Oryctolagus cuniculus: one gene and its partners. The protein of the gene in region 2 binds, or shares a complex with, the protein of the main gene of each other region. Links are inferred from orthologs where the notes say so. Each region holds a gene or a part of one and is shown on either strand. Other genes may lie near its edges.

What was found.
Region 1: SMARCD1 (region 2) and PHF10 share a complex: the UniProt entries of both Homo sapiens proteins name them as parts of the neural progenitors-specific chromatin remodeling complex. The link is inferred for Oryctolagus cuniculus from reciprocal best matches to the Homo sapiens genes SMARCD1 and PHF10.
Region 3: SMARCD1 (region 2) and ACTL6B share a complex: the UniProt entries of both Homo sapiens proteins name them as parts of the BAF complex. The link is inferred for Oryctolagus cuniculus from reciprocal best matches to the Homo sapiens genes SMARCD1 and ACTL6B.

Annotation. Positions count from the first base shown.
Region 1 is NC_091436.1:630,350-634,924, forward strand, and holds part of PHF10 (PHD finger protein 10), read left to right. Parts: intron 1-538; coding exon 539-645; intron 646-3,656; coding exon 3,657-3,787; intron 3,788-4,346; coding exon 4,347-4,430; intron 4,431-4,575. UniProt on the Homo sapiens protein: Involved in transcription activity regulation by chromatin remodeling. Belongs to the neural progenitors-specific chromatin remodeling complex (npBAF complex) and is required for the proliferation of neural progenitors.
Region 2 is NC_091442.1:53,417,810-53,422,951, forward strand, and holds the start of SMARCD1 (SWI/SNF-related matrix-associated actin-dependent regulator of chromatin subfamily D member 1), read left to right. Parts: upstream 1-1,586; 5' UTR 1,587-2,195; coding exon 2,196-2,372; intron 2,373-2,933; coding exon 2,934-3,121; intron 3,122-3,408; coding exon 3,409-3,451; intron 3,452-3,545; coding exon 3,546-3,668; intron 3,669-4,142; coding exon 4,143-4,265; intron 4,266-5,142. UniProt on the Homo sapiens protein: Involved in transcriptional activation and repression of select genes by chromatin remodeling (alteration of DNA-nucleosome topology).
Region 3 is NC_091450.1:42,835,231-42,839,805, reverse strand, and holds part of ACTL6B (actin-like protein 6B), read left to right. Parts: intron 1-2,354; coding exon 2,355-2,452; intron 2,453-3,160; coding exon 3,161-3,255; intron 3,256-3,322; coding exon 3,323-3,429; intron 3,430-4,027; coding exon 4,028-4,117; intron 4,118-4,230; coding exon 4,231-4,292; intron 4,293-4,408; coding exon 4,409-4,523; intron 4,524-4,575. UniProt on the Homo sapiens protein: Involved in transcriptional activation and repression of select genes by chromatin remodeling (alteration of DNA-nucleosome topology).

The DNA of each region.
Region 1 (4,575 bases), on a different chromosome or scaffold from region 2:
TAAAAAATATACAGGACTCTTCTTTTGGGGAAGTGCATGTGTTACTGTATGAGTACAATAGAGTAGGTTATATTTTTGCTATATAAGAAAAAAGTGAATAGTTAGTAACCTGATTTTAGTCCCTGTACTCACAAGTCCCCCTTTTACAGGGATATGAATACCTAAAGTAATCAGCTAGCATTGTCAGAACTTACTCTCAGTTCAGTTCAGTACTTTAAATGTTGATGCATTTCCTCCAGCTGCGGTAGGAGTGACGCCACGGTTTTATGGTTATTGGAAGCAAAAGGCATTTTAATCCTGCCAAGAAAGCAAAAATAGATTTAGATTTATGGTTAAGTTGAAAGTTTTCTTGCTTTGTTTGCAGTTTTGTGGTCATTACAGATTGTTATCCCCTTTTAATTAATAGGAAGTTAAAATTTATATAACTAGTCCTTTGAAAATGTTTGACTTAATGAGACTTTTAGCAAGTCTGGGAAAATTTCTTTATTCTTTATTATTTATTCTCTAATTAGTACTTTTTGAACCTTTAAATGTATAGGATGACAATGAAGATAATTCAAATGATGGCACTCAACCACCCAAAAGGAGGAGAATGGGCTCAGGAGACAGCTCCAGAAGCTGTGAAACTTCGAGTCAAGATCTTGGGTATTGTCCTGTCACTGCTTGTTCTCTGTGTTACTGCCTCTTCCAGTTCCCCAGCCTTGGCAAAGGGGTTATTAAACACTGTGGAGTGTTTTCTTCCTGTTTTACAATGTTACGCCAAAGTTGATCTTGCTACTGAGAGCGTCTGAAATAAAATTTATCATAGAAAATAGATAAAATGCAGCATATTAACTATACTTAAGTGTGCAGTTCAGTGTCATTAATCAGGATTGCACGACTGTTGCCCATCTGTTTGCAGACCTTTTGACTAACCCGTAAAACGCCGTAAGCGTTAAGCAATAGCCTCCATTTCCTCCTTCCCCCGACTGTGGCAACTGTCATTCTCTGTGTCCGTGAATGTGACTTTTCTAAACACCACCGAAAGCAGAGCCATGCGGTGTTCGTCCTTTTTGTCTGGCTTGTTGCACTTAGTGTACTCTCTTCCATGCAGTCTCTTACATCAGAAATGCCTTGTTAAGGCCGCGTGTGTTCATTCATATGCTGAGGGATGTTGGGGTTCTTTCTGCCTCTGGCTACAGTGAGTGCTGCAGTGAACACTGGAGTTGGTGGCAGTTCTGTTAGTCTTTGAGGAGCTGTTAACACTTCTCTCTAGGGGCTACACCATTTTTGCTTTCCCATCAGCTTAACATCCTTGCCAGTTTGTTATTTTCTGCTTTGTTTTGGTAACAGTTATCTTAAAAGGTATGGCATCTTATATTGATTTTGTTTTGCATTTCCATGATGAGTAGGGATGTTGAGTGTTTTGTGTGTGCTTTTTGGCCATTTGTTTATCTTCTTTGGAGAATCCCTGCTCAAGTCCTTCATTTTTAATTTGGGTTGTGTGTGTGTGTGTGTTTCGTTACAGTAGTTCTTTATATATTCTGGATATTACTTCATTATCAGATACATGATTTTTTTTTTTTTTATTTATTTATTTTTTTTTGATAGGCAGAGTGGACAGTGAGAGAGAGAGACAGAGAGAGAAAGGTCTTCCTTTGCCGTTGGTTCACCCTCCAATGGCCGCCGCTGCAGCCGGCGCACCGCGCTGATCCGATGGCAGGAGCCAGGAGCCAGGTGCTTTTCCTGGTCTCCCATGGGGTGCAGGGCCCAAGCACCTGGGCCATCCTCCACTGCACTCCCTGGCCATAGCAGAGAGCTGGCCTGGAAGAGGGGCAACCGGGACAGAATCCGGCGCCCCGACCGGGACTAGAACCCGGTGTGCCAGCGCCGCAAGGTGGAGGATTAGCCTATTGAGCCACGGCGCCGGCTCCAGATACATGATTTGAAGGAATTTTGTCTCATTCTCTGTTGATAGTGTGCTTTGATGCAGTTTTTTTATTTTGATGAAATCTAGACTATCTTTTCTTTTGTTACTTGTGGTTTTGGTATCTTATCTAATAATGCATTGCCAAATCCCAGGTCATGAAGATTTACTGTGCTTTCTTTGAAGAGCTTTCTGATAGCTTATATTTTGGTTGTTGCTTCATTTGAGTTAATTTTTGTTCTTGATATGAGGTCAGGGATCAAATTTCATACTTGTGCACGTGGTTATCCAGTTTTCCAACACTAACTTTGAGAATACTGTTTGTGTCAGCTTCTTTGTAAATGGGTAGTTGCAGAAGATAGTGTCCCCTTCCTGCCTGTGGGGTAGAAGTTGAACGGTCACAGGTGCTGCTACTTCAGCATGCGGTTGACTGCGTGTCCTGCTACCCGTGTAGGTGTCCCCATTGCCTCTGAGTTTGTGGAGGGCGAGAGGACAGGTTATCCTTTTGTTGGGCTCTCTGAGGAGGGGGCTTCCAGAGCTCGACTTCCTCGGCTGTGTGTGACTCGCTGAACAGGAGACAATCAGAAGTTGGTTATACCTAGCGGTCGAAAGGAAGACTGTGCAAAGTGTTCATGGGAAATGCATATTATGGAAAAAAAGCAGGGCTGGTGGTGGCATGGTGTTGCGAGTTAAATCTTTGCGTGTGACACTGGCATGCCGTATCAGCGCTGGTTTGAATCCTGGTTGCTTTGCTTCTGATCTGTTGCTCTGCTAATGTGCCTGGGAAGACAGTGGAAGATGGCCTCATTGGCCCAAGTGCTTGGACTCCTGACACCGATGTGGCAGACCTGGATAGTGATCCAGGCTCCTGACTTCAGCCTGGCCTGGCTCCAGCTGTTGTGGCCATTTGGGGAGTGAACCAGCAGGTGGATTCTCTCTGTGTAACTCTTTCATATGACAAAATAAGTATTTTTTAAAAACAGAGGAAAAAACGTCATGGATTTCAAATTTTGCACTAAAATTCTTTATTTAATTTCCATCTTTCATGAACTTTTTGAACTGCTCTTTTTTTTTTTTTTTTTTTTTTTTGACAGGCAGAGTGGACAGTGAGAGAGAGAGAGACAGAGAGAAAGGTCTTCCTTTACCATTGGTTCACCCTCCAATGGTCGCTGCGGCTGGTGCGCTGCGGCCGGCGCACTGCTCCGAAGCCAGGAGCCAGGTGCTTCTCCTGGTCTCCCATGTGGGTGCAGGGCCCAAGCACTTGGGCCATCCTCCACTGCACTCCCTGGCCACAGCAGAGAGCTGGACTGGAAGAGGGGCAGCCGGGACAGGACCGGCATCCCGACCGGGTCTAGAACCTAGAGTGCCGGCGCCGCAGGTGGAGGATTAGCCTAGTGAGCCACGGCACCGGCCTTTGAACTGCTCTTATACTGGTAATGAGTCCAAGAGAAAAAATTCAGAGCGGTAGCCACCTTGCTTTGGCCTCGTAAGTCTGAAAGTGCCACGTGAGTCTCCTTCTTCTTGGTTTATAGAAGGTGTTACTTCCAACGTGCCTTTTGCTTTGATACTTCAGATAATTGTTTCTCTTCCTATTACCTGTTTTATATTTTTTTGGCTTGTCACAACATCAAGCCATAACAGGCAAAGAATTTAAATACTTAAAAGAGCTTTCAAAATATCCTCAAAAATTAGAAGTGATAAGTTTGATGGAAGCCACATTGAAGACATAATGTGTATCTTTTGTGCTTAGCTTCAGTTACTATCCAGCAGAAAACCTGATAGAGTACAAGTGGCCACCTGATGAAGCCGGAGAGTACTACATGCTTCAGGAACAAGTCAGTGAATATTTGGGCGTGACCTCCTTTAAACGGAAATATCCAGGTACTTGAGTCTTAGCTGTGTGATAATGAAATCTAACTTCTTAACTAAGAGTAGTTTTTTATGATAGCTTATCAACCACTGAATTCTTGGATGTGGATTATTGGTAATATATATTTTATTCTTGTGCGCTCTGATTTTCATTTATTGGCATTCAGCTTCTCCACCTATTGATGTGTTATTATGTCTCACGAACTGATATAAAAGCAAAATGAGAAAGGGGACTTTCCTGGAGAAATTTAAGACAAAACCCATCTCTAGCCATGAGTTTGTTTTGCCACTGCTCCTTGACTTTAGGAATGAGTTAGTACAGAAGCCATGCTTGAGTTGCAGGAGGACTACCTTTGATGAATTGTTCCGTACAGTTATTTATGTTATCTTTGGGTTATTCTGTTTTCAGTTTTATTCCTTGAATTCAAACAATTTTTGTGTAGCCCCTTTAACAGTATTTGAGATACATGACATGAAGTACTTTTAAACAGAAAATTTTTAAGCTTTTGTAAGTTTTATAATGCATAATGCTTTACTGTTATTAATAGTCTTCTGTTCTTCCCTTTTGGAGATTTAGAGAGACGAGATTTGTCTCATAAGGAGAAACTGTACCTGAGAGAGTTAAACGTCATCACAGAAACTCAATGCACTCTAGGTAATAGAAGCTTGCTCTTTTTTTTTTTTTTTTAAAGATTTATTTATTTGAAAGGCAGAGTTACACAGAGAGAGAAGGAGAGGCAGAGAGAGAGAAAGAGGTTGTCCATCTACTGGTTTACTCCCAATTGGCTGCAATGGCTGAT
Region 2 (5,142 bases):
GCCCCGATGGGCACAAGATGTGGCCCTGGTGCTGTAGGCCACATTCTGATAACCTACAAGTTCACCCTCACCGGCCCCTCCCCCGGAGGCCCCCGCGGAGGGCCACATCCATAAATTTTCTTATGGAACTCCCCCAAGACTTCTTCTCCGACTTCATTTGCTTCTTTCAACGACCTCATCTGCATTTTCTATTTCTATATGATACAGACTCTATATTGCTACATCTCTGTGTATACTTTTGCCCCTCCCCTGTCTGTCTGGACCCCATCCCCTCTTGTCTCTGAAAACCATCCTCCCACCCCAAGCCTCCCAACCAGCCCCTCTGTGTCTCTGCTCCCTCCCTGGTCTCTGAATGCCTTCGCCTGTATAAAGAATTGGACTCTCTCCCCGGTGTCTGTACTGTGTACACACATCCCTCTGAGAAGCACAAGGAGACGACACGCGCATTGTAACCCTCGCACTGTCTCGGTGGCGACATAAAAGGAAGCTGTGAATCACAAACTCTGCCTCTTTCTGGCCTCACCCTCTCCCGCCAGCCCCCAGGGCACCCTCTGCAGCCTTAACATCCTCCTGCTGCTCCACCTAGCCCCCTGCCCTTGTCCTCCCAGGGAAGGGTCAGCTGCAGAGGTAGCCCCCAGCCCAGGGGACAGAGACCGCCTCTAGACACCAAGCCAAGAGTGACCAAGAGAGAAGGGAACTGGGGATTGGTGACTGTTGCAGCTGGGGCAGTGGGAGGCTGACCGGCAGAAGCTGAGGCCCTCGGTCTGTGGCCTTTCCCTCCTCCTGGGCACCCAGCCCCTTCCCCCAGCGGATACCGAAGCCCACCACTTATATTTTTGGGTTAGGTAGGATTTGGCAGTGGGGGGGAAAGACACCTAGAGGGAGTGAGTTGAAAGCTCTGTTTTTTGTCCGCCCCTTGATGAGGGACCCAAGCGAGGTAGAGGGCCTGCCCCACTGCCTCTACTAGCCGCTCCCCGCAGGCCAGAGCCCCACCCCTTCCCAGGCCTTCTCTGCCCACCTGTCTCTTGGTCTCCAGTCCCAGAGCAGGACCCGTGGGCAGGTGCCCTGTGTGCACCCGCCTGGAGCTGAAGAGGCTAGGGCTCTTGGGAATTCCTGGGTTCCCCAGGAGTTCCTTAGAGATCAGACCTCCCCGAGAGGGGTGCGGGAGCAAAGCCAAGAATTGTGCAGTGGATTGGGGAACAGCAGGCAGGACTCTGCGTGACGCATGCCACTGGTCTAATAAACTGGGTTTTAACCGTCTTCGCTTCAGTGTTGTTCTCTTCTTTGGAAAGTATCTAGTATTCCCGCTAACTGCCCAGAGCTTGGCTAGCCTTGGGGGGAGGGGGGGGGCTCGCACAATCCGGGGAAGAGGAAAGAGGAGGTTTGAACAGGGTGGCCCGGGTCCTCCTGGGATAGGAAAGGCTGACCTCACAACAGGAATGGTTTCAGAGGGAGGGGTCAAAGGTAACGAAGACCCCAAACAACTCCCAGCACAGCGGATTCTTTGGAGAAGGGCAGGGTGCAGATTCAAGTTGAAGCGGCAACTCAACATCTGGAAGAAGGTTAGGCTGCAAGTCCGCTCCAGGACTGGGTGGAAGTTCCCGCGTTTAGTGGTTATTGTGGGACTTTCTCTGAGTGCCGGGCTCCGAGCCTGGATTCTAGGATCTGGCCCGCCTGCTAACTTGCTGATTAACCTTTGCGAAGTCGTTTACCGTCTTCGAATTCGACTTTCCCATTTATAAAGTGAAAATAATGCGTTCTCCTCTTCAGCTCCTCGGGGTTAGAGCAGTAAGAGACGAAGAGAAAAGCATGCAAAGCTCTTTGGAGACCAGGCAGTTAACTCCAAATCCTGCATCAGCGGCTGGAGGCAGGATTGGGGCTGGGCTGCGGTCCCCCTCTTCCCAGGGCCCTGTCGGCCTCCCGTCGGCTGGCGGCGCCCGCTCGCGGGGCCTCTCTACCCCACAGCTCCTCTCTATGGTCTTCGCTCCGGACCCTGAAGGCGGGAGGGCGTGGCCTGCACTCCTTTTCCGCTAGTCGCCCCCCTCTAGCCCACAAGTCTCGCTGCCCTGAGCTGCCCGTGCCTGCCGGGCAGGCAGGCAGGCAGCGGACAGGCGGGCGCTCGGGGGGCGCACGCGGGGGGCGGGGGGAGTTCCGGTTCCGGTTCTTTGTGCAGCTGCCGCGGCGGCTCCGGGAAGATGGCTGCCCGGGCGGGTTTCCAATCTGTGGCTCCGAGCGGCGGCGCCGGAGCCTCAGGCGGGGCGGGCGCGGCGGCTGCCCTGGGCCCGGGTGGAACCCCGGGGCCTCCCGTGCGAATGGGCCCGGCGCCGGGTCAAGGGCTGTACCGCTCCCCGATGCCAGGAGCGGCCTATCCGGTGAGTGGGGCAGGAGGAGGGGCGCGCGGGCCGGGGGCGGGGCCGAGCGGGGGCCTGGGAGTGACAGGGGAGGGGTAGAAGTGGGAGGGACTCCCCTGGGAGGGGTTTGGGCAGGGGCCGGGGCCCGGGCCGGGGCCGGGCGGGCGGGGGAGGCACTTAGATCTCCACCTGCTCCTAGGGGTATTGTTTCCGAGGGGAGTCGGTGTACAGCCGGGGATGGGTGTCGGAGGGCTGGGCGGTGTAGATTGAGGTCAGCTTCAAAGCTAGCCGAGTAAGTGCAGGACCAGCGGAGATGGCCATGGGTCAGATCCAAAGTGGACCGGGGAGAATCTGAGTGGGCTCAGTCCGGCTGCCTCTAAGCCTTTGGGCCCTGTGTTTCCACGGAAGCACTCGTGGAACGGAGGGAGCCCCAATTACCCATATTTCCAAGAGGCCAAGGGCTCTCCTCTCATTGTCCTTGAACCCCCTAGCCTGGTTTCATTCCGAGAACTCAGGCGCCCCAAGCTTGCCCTCTCGCGGTGCGGGCCTCTGGAACATGTCTGGGTCCTCTCCCCTCTGTAGAGACCAGGCATGCTGCCAGGCAGCCGAATGACACCTCAGGGACCTTCCATGGGACCCCCTGGCTATGGGGGGACTCCTTCAGTCCGACCTGGCCTGGCCCAGTCAGGGATGGACCAGTCCCGCAAGAGGCCTGCGCCTCAGCAGATCCAGCAGGCCCAACAGCAGGCGGTCCAAAACCGAAACCACAAGTAAGCCGCCCCCCCACCCCTGGGGGGGGAGAGGGGGACTGGGAGGACACAGGTGGTGGGAGCCCCTGAGCCAGGAAGGGTGGGGGGTAGGGGGACTGCATCAGCAGGTGGTGACCTGCCACTCATCATTGGGCTTATGGGGGTAGGGGTTTTGGGGGCAGGGGGCTATCTTATTTGAGGGCAGCTTTGTGGTCCCCTCGCTTGACCATACATGGAGGTGCTGACAGCTTATCTTCCTGTTCTGACTAGTTCTAGTCCAACCTGATAACAGTATTTATCCCCACCAGTGCAAAGAAAAAGAAGATGGCTGACAAAATTCTACCTCAGAGGGTGAGTCCCCAACTGTGGGTCTTCTCGAGGGCGCGGTGAGTTGGAGGCTAGCCCTCAGGCGCCAGACCCCAGTGATCACCTTTCTGTTCCTAAGATCCGCGAGCTGGTTCCAGAGTCCCAGGCCTATATGGATCTCTTGGCTTTTGAAAGGAAGCTGGACCAGACCATCATGAGGAAACGGCTGGATATCCAGGAGGCCTTGAAACGTCCCATCAAGGTAACACACAGACGCGCCAGGCGGAGCGCCAAGAGAGGGCGCGGGAACCTGCGTCAGGCCCGGGAGGAGAAACCAAGGACGCAGCGCTGTTCTCCTTGGCATTTAAATTGCCTCTCCCCCTTCCGCCTACAAACAGGGAATTACATTAGGCGATCCAGAACAGAACAGCAAAGGGGAGGGGCTTCTGATGTCTTGTTCCAGAAATACCCCCTGTCCATGTGTTTGCTATAACTGCTCTGCTACCTTGGGAACCTGCCACTTTGCCTGACTCTGGTCCACCTGGCATGCGGTGTGCGCACACGTAGTCAGGCCCGAGGCCTGTAGTCCCCTCCTAAATGGAGTCTCCCTCCGTGTACCCAAGCGGCTGGGGAGACGGCGAACGTGGAGGAGTTAGCCTTGGGGTTCGGGGAGACCCTTGTCTTCAGCGTCAAACCACTGAAGCCCCACCATCACTCCTGTCCCTGCCTTCCTCAGCAAAAACGGAAGCTGCGAATTTTCATTTCGAACACTTTCAACCCGGCTAAGTCAGATGCCGAGGACGGGGAAGGCACGGTGGCTTCCTGGGAGCTTCGGGTAGAAGGACGGCTCCTGGAGGACGTGAGTTCAAGGTCCACCGTGGTCGGCGTCCAGGGTGGGAGTTGCTGGGAACGGAGCAGTGCTCTCTGGTCGCAGGACGCCCGGCTGCTGCTCACAGCCCCTGTGAGAGGGACGCTCTGTGCCCTGCGCTGAGAGACAATGGTTCTTTGTATCTGGCTCCTACAGCTCTGGCCCTCACGGGGGTCGAATGGAGAACCTTATTGTCCTGGGATCTGATTTGTTGTTTACCTTCCTCCTGGTGCTGCTGACCGTTGGATTTAGCAGTATCTGCAGATGGTTCTGTTGTGTGGGTTTGTTTTTTGTTTTTTGGGTTTTTTTTTTTTTGTACTTAGCATTGGAAGCCATGTTTCCTCTGAGTCCCGAGGTCCTTGATCCCCACTGTGGCCCCCCTCCATCTTCCCGACTCTGATTGGAGACACCCCGCGGGGTAGATTTCCCTGGCAGCCTCTCGGTTGCTTCCCGGGGAGCATCAGCTAGCAGCCCCCAGACCGCCCACCCCAGCAGCTCCTTGGGAGAAGCTCACCTTTCTTCTCACTCCCCTCCGAGCTGCTGGCTGGCTATTTTTAGCTGCTCGCAGGCAAGCTAATTTGAATGCACTTTCGATGGAGAGTCAGGGCTTAGAGCCTCCGTCTTGTGTACGTAGGTCCAGCCCAGCTGCTGGTGGTGTCATTGTGTCCACATACAGCTGATTCCCTTTCCCTCTAAGTCGGGCTTTTCTCTGTTCTTACTCACTGTGCTACGTGCAGGGGTTCGTCTGAACTTTCCCCAGGGGTGAGTCAGTGTGACAGGCTGTTGCTTCAGGGTGTCTGTTGCTACCATGTCTGGTGTAATACCCATGAATGCCTACCTTCCCATCTCCTAAGATACTCAGAAAACA
Region 3 (4,575 bases), on a different chromosome or scaffold from region 2:
CAACCGGGACTAGAACCAGGTGTGCCGGCGCCACAGGCGGAGGATTAGCCTAGTGAGCCGCAGCACCAGCCACTCTTTTCTTCTTTTCACAACCTGAGGCACTACTCTTTCTCAGGTGAAATTCACATGACATAAAATTCACCTTTTTAAGTCAATCATTGAGGGGCAGGCATTTGGCATAGTGGTTACGACGCCACTTGGGATGCCTGCATCCTACATCAGAGTGCCTGGGTACAAGTCGCAGCTCTGCTTCTGATTCCGGCTTCCTGTTAGTGTGCACCCCTGGGAGGCAGCAAGTGATGACTCAGTTATTTGGATCCCTGTCCCCCGTGTGGAAGACCTGGATTGAGTTCCTGGCTTCTGGCTTCAGCCTGGCCCAGTCTTGGCTGTTGAAGGATTTGGGGGAGTACATCAATGCATGGGAGCTCTGTCTGTCTCTCTCTCTCTCCATATTTCTGAGAAAAAAGCAATTCCATGATTTAAAAAAATTATTAATATAAAGAGAACAGATTTCGTGTATTTCTTTTTTGTTTTTCTTTTTTCTTTTTCTTTCTTTATTTGACAGGCAGAGTGGACAGTGAGAGAGAGAGACAGAGAGAAAGGTCTTCCTTTGCCACTGGTTCACCCTCCAATGGCCGCCATGGCCAGCACACTGCGGCCGGCGCACCGCGCTGATCCGATGTCAGGAGCCAAGTATTTATCCTGGTCTCTCATGGGATGCAGGGCCCAAGCACTTGGGCCATCCACCACTGCTTTCCCAGGCATATTAGCAAGGAGCTGGATCAGAAGTGGAGCAGCTGGGACTTGAACCGGTGCCTATATGGGATACTGACACTGCAGGCAGAAGCCTAACCTTCTAGGCCACAGTGCTAGCCCCATGATGTTTAATGTAATTATCATCACTATCTAGTCAAAATATTTTCCTCGTCCCTAAAAGGAAATCCCTTCCTTGAGATAGGTTTTTTCCACTGCTCTCTAGCCTCCAGTCTGCTGTCTCTTTGGACAGATCTGTGCCAGGCCTTTCCTATAAAAGGAACCACATAATCTGTGACTTTGGGTGTTCTTCCCCCACTTAGCGTAATGCTTTTTAAAGTGCATCCAGCTTGCAGCGTGTGTCACTGTGTCATTCCTTATTAAGGCTGAATACTGGCTGGCGCTGCGGTTCACTAGGCTAATCCTCCGCCTTGCGGCGCCAGCACACTAGGTTCTAGTCCCGGTCAGGGTGCCGGATTCTGTCCTGGTTGCCCCTCTTCCAGGCCAGCTCTCTGCTGTGGCCCGGGAGTGCAGTGGAGGATGGCCCAAGTGCTTGGGCCCTGCACCCCATGGGAGACCAGGATAAGTATCTGGCTCCTGCCATCGGATCAGCACAGTGCGCCAGCCGCAGCGCACTGGCTGAGGTGGCCATTGGAGGGTGAACCAACGGCAAAAGAAAGACCTTTCTCTCTGTCTCTCTCTCTCACTGTCCACTCTGCCTGTCAAAATAAATAAATAAATAAATAAATAAATAAATAAAATAAAAGGCTGAATACTATGGAATCTATTACAGTTTATTTATCTTTCATCCCCTGGGGGCCATTTGGATCAATTCTGCCTTTGGCTATCAGGGACAGTGCTGCTGTGAACATTCGTGTACAAGGATCTGAGTACTTGTGTTTAGTTCTCCATCACATATGACCCAGAGTAGAGTTGCTGGATCCTATGGTAATTCAGTGTGCGTCTTTTCGGGTAATCACCAGCTGAACCATTTTACATTCTCACCAGCAGCGTGTCAGGGTTTCTGTCTCCACGTCCTTGCCAACACTTGTTGTCTTCTGGATTTTAGTTACATCACTCTCTGGTGGGGGTGAAGTGGTACTCATTAGCCTTTTGCATTTGCATTTGATTATGGTTTCCCTGGAGTCCTGGATCAGAGTAAAATTAGATATGTGTGTTCAATCTACCATTATTAACCCAGAAACCCCGTCTGCTGCTTTGGGCTAGACGGAGGTCTGGGAATGGCCTGAGAGGGGTACTGCCAGAAAAGAGCCCTTAGGCCACGGTGCAAGGACAATGACTCCGGACACAGCTCCGTCCAGAGCTCCTGGGTGATCTTGGGCAAGTCTCTGAGTTTTGCCTTCCTCAGCTAAGTTTGTGCTGTGACATTCTTGACAGCTCTCACATTCTACAGATCCGTGTGAACCAAGGCGCTTGATCTGTGTCCCCTGTCAGAGTTGTGTGTACGTATGTGTGCGTTGATGTACGCATACGTGTACTAGTGTGTGTGTGCGTGTGAGAGTATGTGTGCACCCCCATGCACGGCTGTGGGTCTGGGCCTCTCCCTTGCTGACGCCTCCCGTCCTGCACTTCCTCCCCAGTGGAATACTCGGGCCAAGAGGGAGAAGCTGACGGAGCTGATGTTCGAGCAGTACAACATTCCTGCCTTCTTCCTGTGCAAGACCGCCGTGCTCACCGCGTATCCTCCGGGTTGAGCTGCTCCGCCTGGGCGGAGGACCAGGGTGGGGTGTGTGGAGCGCTGAGCCGGGAGCTGGGCTGGTTCTCTGAAGATCAGTGTCGCGGGTGGACAGACGCCTCCCTTCACCCCACTGGTGCAGAAGGCCCAACGGGTTGAGTGCATGGGGGGCAGATCAAGGATCTTTCCTCATTCCTTGGATCAAGCGGAGTAGAGAGAGAGTCGGACAAGTAGACGGCCGGGGCTGGAGCTGGAGACAGGGAGGGGGATATGACACGGAAGGGGGCTCCTTCCCAATCAGCCAATCAGCGTAAGACACGGGGGGGGGTCCCTCCCAATCAGCCAATCAGCGTAAGACACGGGGGGGGTTTCCTTCTTAAACAGCCAATCAGCGTTGCCCTTTCTTCATGGCCTGCCTTGCCTTGACCCCCGCGCTAGGCTCTGGGGTGATAGGATCGCTTAATTTCAAGGCGCCCGTAGGACACAGAGCTAGGCATGAAGAGCTGGGAGTTCAGAAGGAAGAGAGGAAAAAGCTGTGACTCAGACAGGGAAGACGGGGGTCTTAGGAGCCTCTCGCAGGAGTTGCGCCAGGGGGAGGGACTTGCAGACCGGTGGGCGGGACGCAGGGAGAGCAGGGAGTGACCGAGCCAGATCTGAGTCCCAGTCCCTACTGGCTGCTGCAGTCTCTTTGACCCACCCGTCCCACACCAGCTTTGCAAATGGACGCTCCACGGGCCTTGTGCTGGACAGCGGGGCCACACACACCACGGCCATTCCAGTGCACGATGGCTACGTTCTGCAGCAAGGTGGGGGCTCGGCAGGGGCTGGGGGTGCCCTCGGGAGGACCGGGTCCTGACGCTGCTTCCTCTTCAGGCATCGTCAAGTCGCCCCTGGCAGGGGACTTCATTTCCATGCAGTGCCGCGAGCTCTTCCAGGAAATGGCCATCGACATCATCCCCCCATACATGATTGCAGCCAAGGTGGGGCCCCCAGGGACCCGGAGCTGCCACCACAGAGTCCCAGGCGCTCACCCTATGCCCGTCAGCCCCCTGACCCATGAGCCAGCAGGGTAGAAAGCAGTAGGGCCCCCAGGAGACCCTGGATCCAGTTCCTCCATTTCCAGTCGAGGCATCCGAGACCTGGCCGGGCTGAGGGACATGACTGAGATATTATGCAGCCGGCCGGCTTGCAGAAGGACTGTGCTGTGGGTTCTGGGGTCCAGCAGACCCAGGTGTGAGTTCTGCCTCTGCCTCTGAGCTGTGTAACGTCAGGAACGGTGTGGAAACTCCCTGAACCTCAGTGGAGAGGACTCTGGGAGTGTCCAGTGATACAGCATGCACCTCTCATGAAACACAGCCCAGTGAAAGGCCATTCCTGGAAGCTTCTGGTCTCCCATTGGCACCCATGCTGTGTGACCCTGCCCGTTCTCTCTCCTCTCCATCAGAGAAGGGTGAGGGACACCTCTCCAGGCCCGCAGAGCAAAGATCCCAAGCCAGCCAGCCTAGGAAGGCAGGTGCGGTCATTTGGGCTAGACAAGCTTGGGCTGGGCTGGGGTGCTTAGAGGCTGTACCCCTACAGGAGCCTGTTCGAGAGGGTGCCCCCCCAAACTGGAAGAAGAAGGAGAAGCTACCTCAGGTCTCCAAGTCCTGGCACAACTACATGTGCAACGTGAGGCACTGGGGAGGGCCCCCTGAAACAGACCCCTCCCCAGAGGCTCTGCAGGGGGGTGGAGGTGGATGCTCGGGAGCCAAACCAGGTCCTCACCCCTCCCCGGTTCTCAGGAGGTGATCCAGGACTTCCAGGCTTCGGTGCTACAGGTCTCAGACTCCCCCTACGATGAGCAGTGAGTGGGGCTCGGAGCTGGGGGGTGGGGGAGGAGATGGAATTAGGGCTCAGGGGGGCCCTCCCCCTGGGGCTTTTGTGAGCACCCCAAGCAGAGTCTTGCTCCTTCCCGGGCAGGGTGGCTGCACAGATGCCCACAGTGCACTACGAGATGCCCAATGGCTACAACACGGACTACGGTGCCGAGCGGCTCCGCATTCCCGAGGGCCTGTTTGACCCCTCCAATGTCAAGGTCGGGCTGAGTGGCGGGCACTGGGGTAGTGGCCGGCCGGGGTCCCTGGACA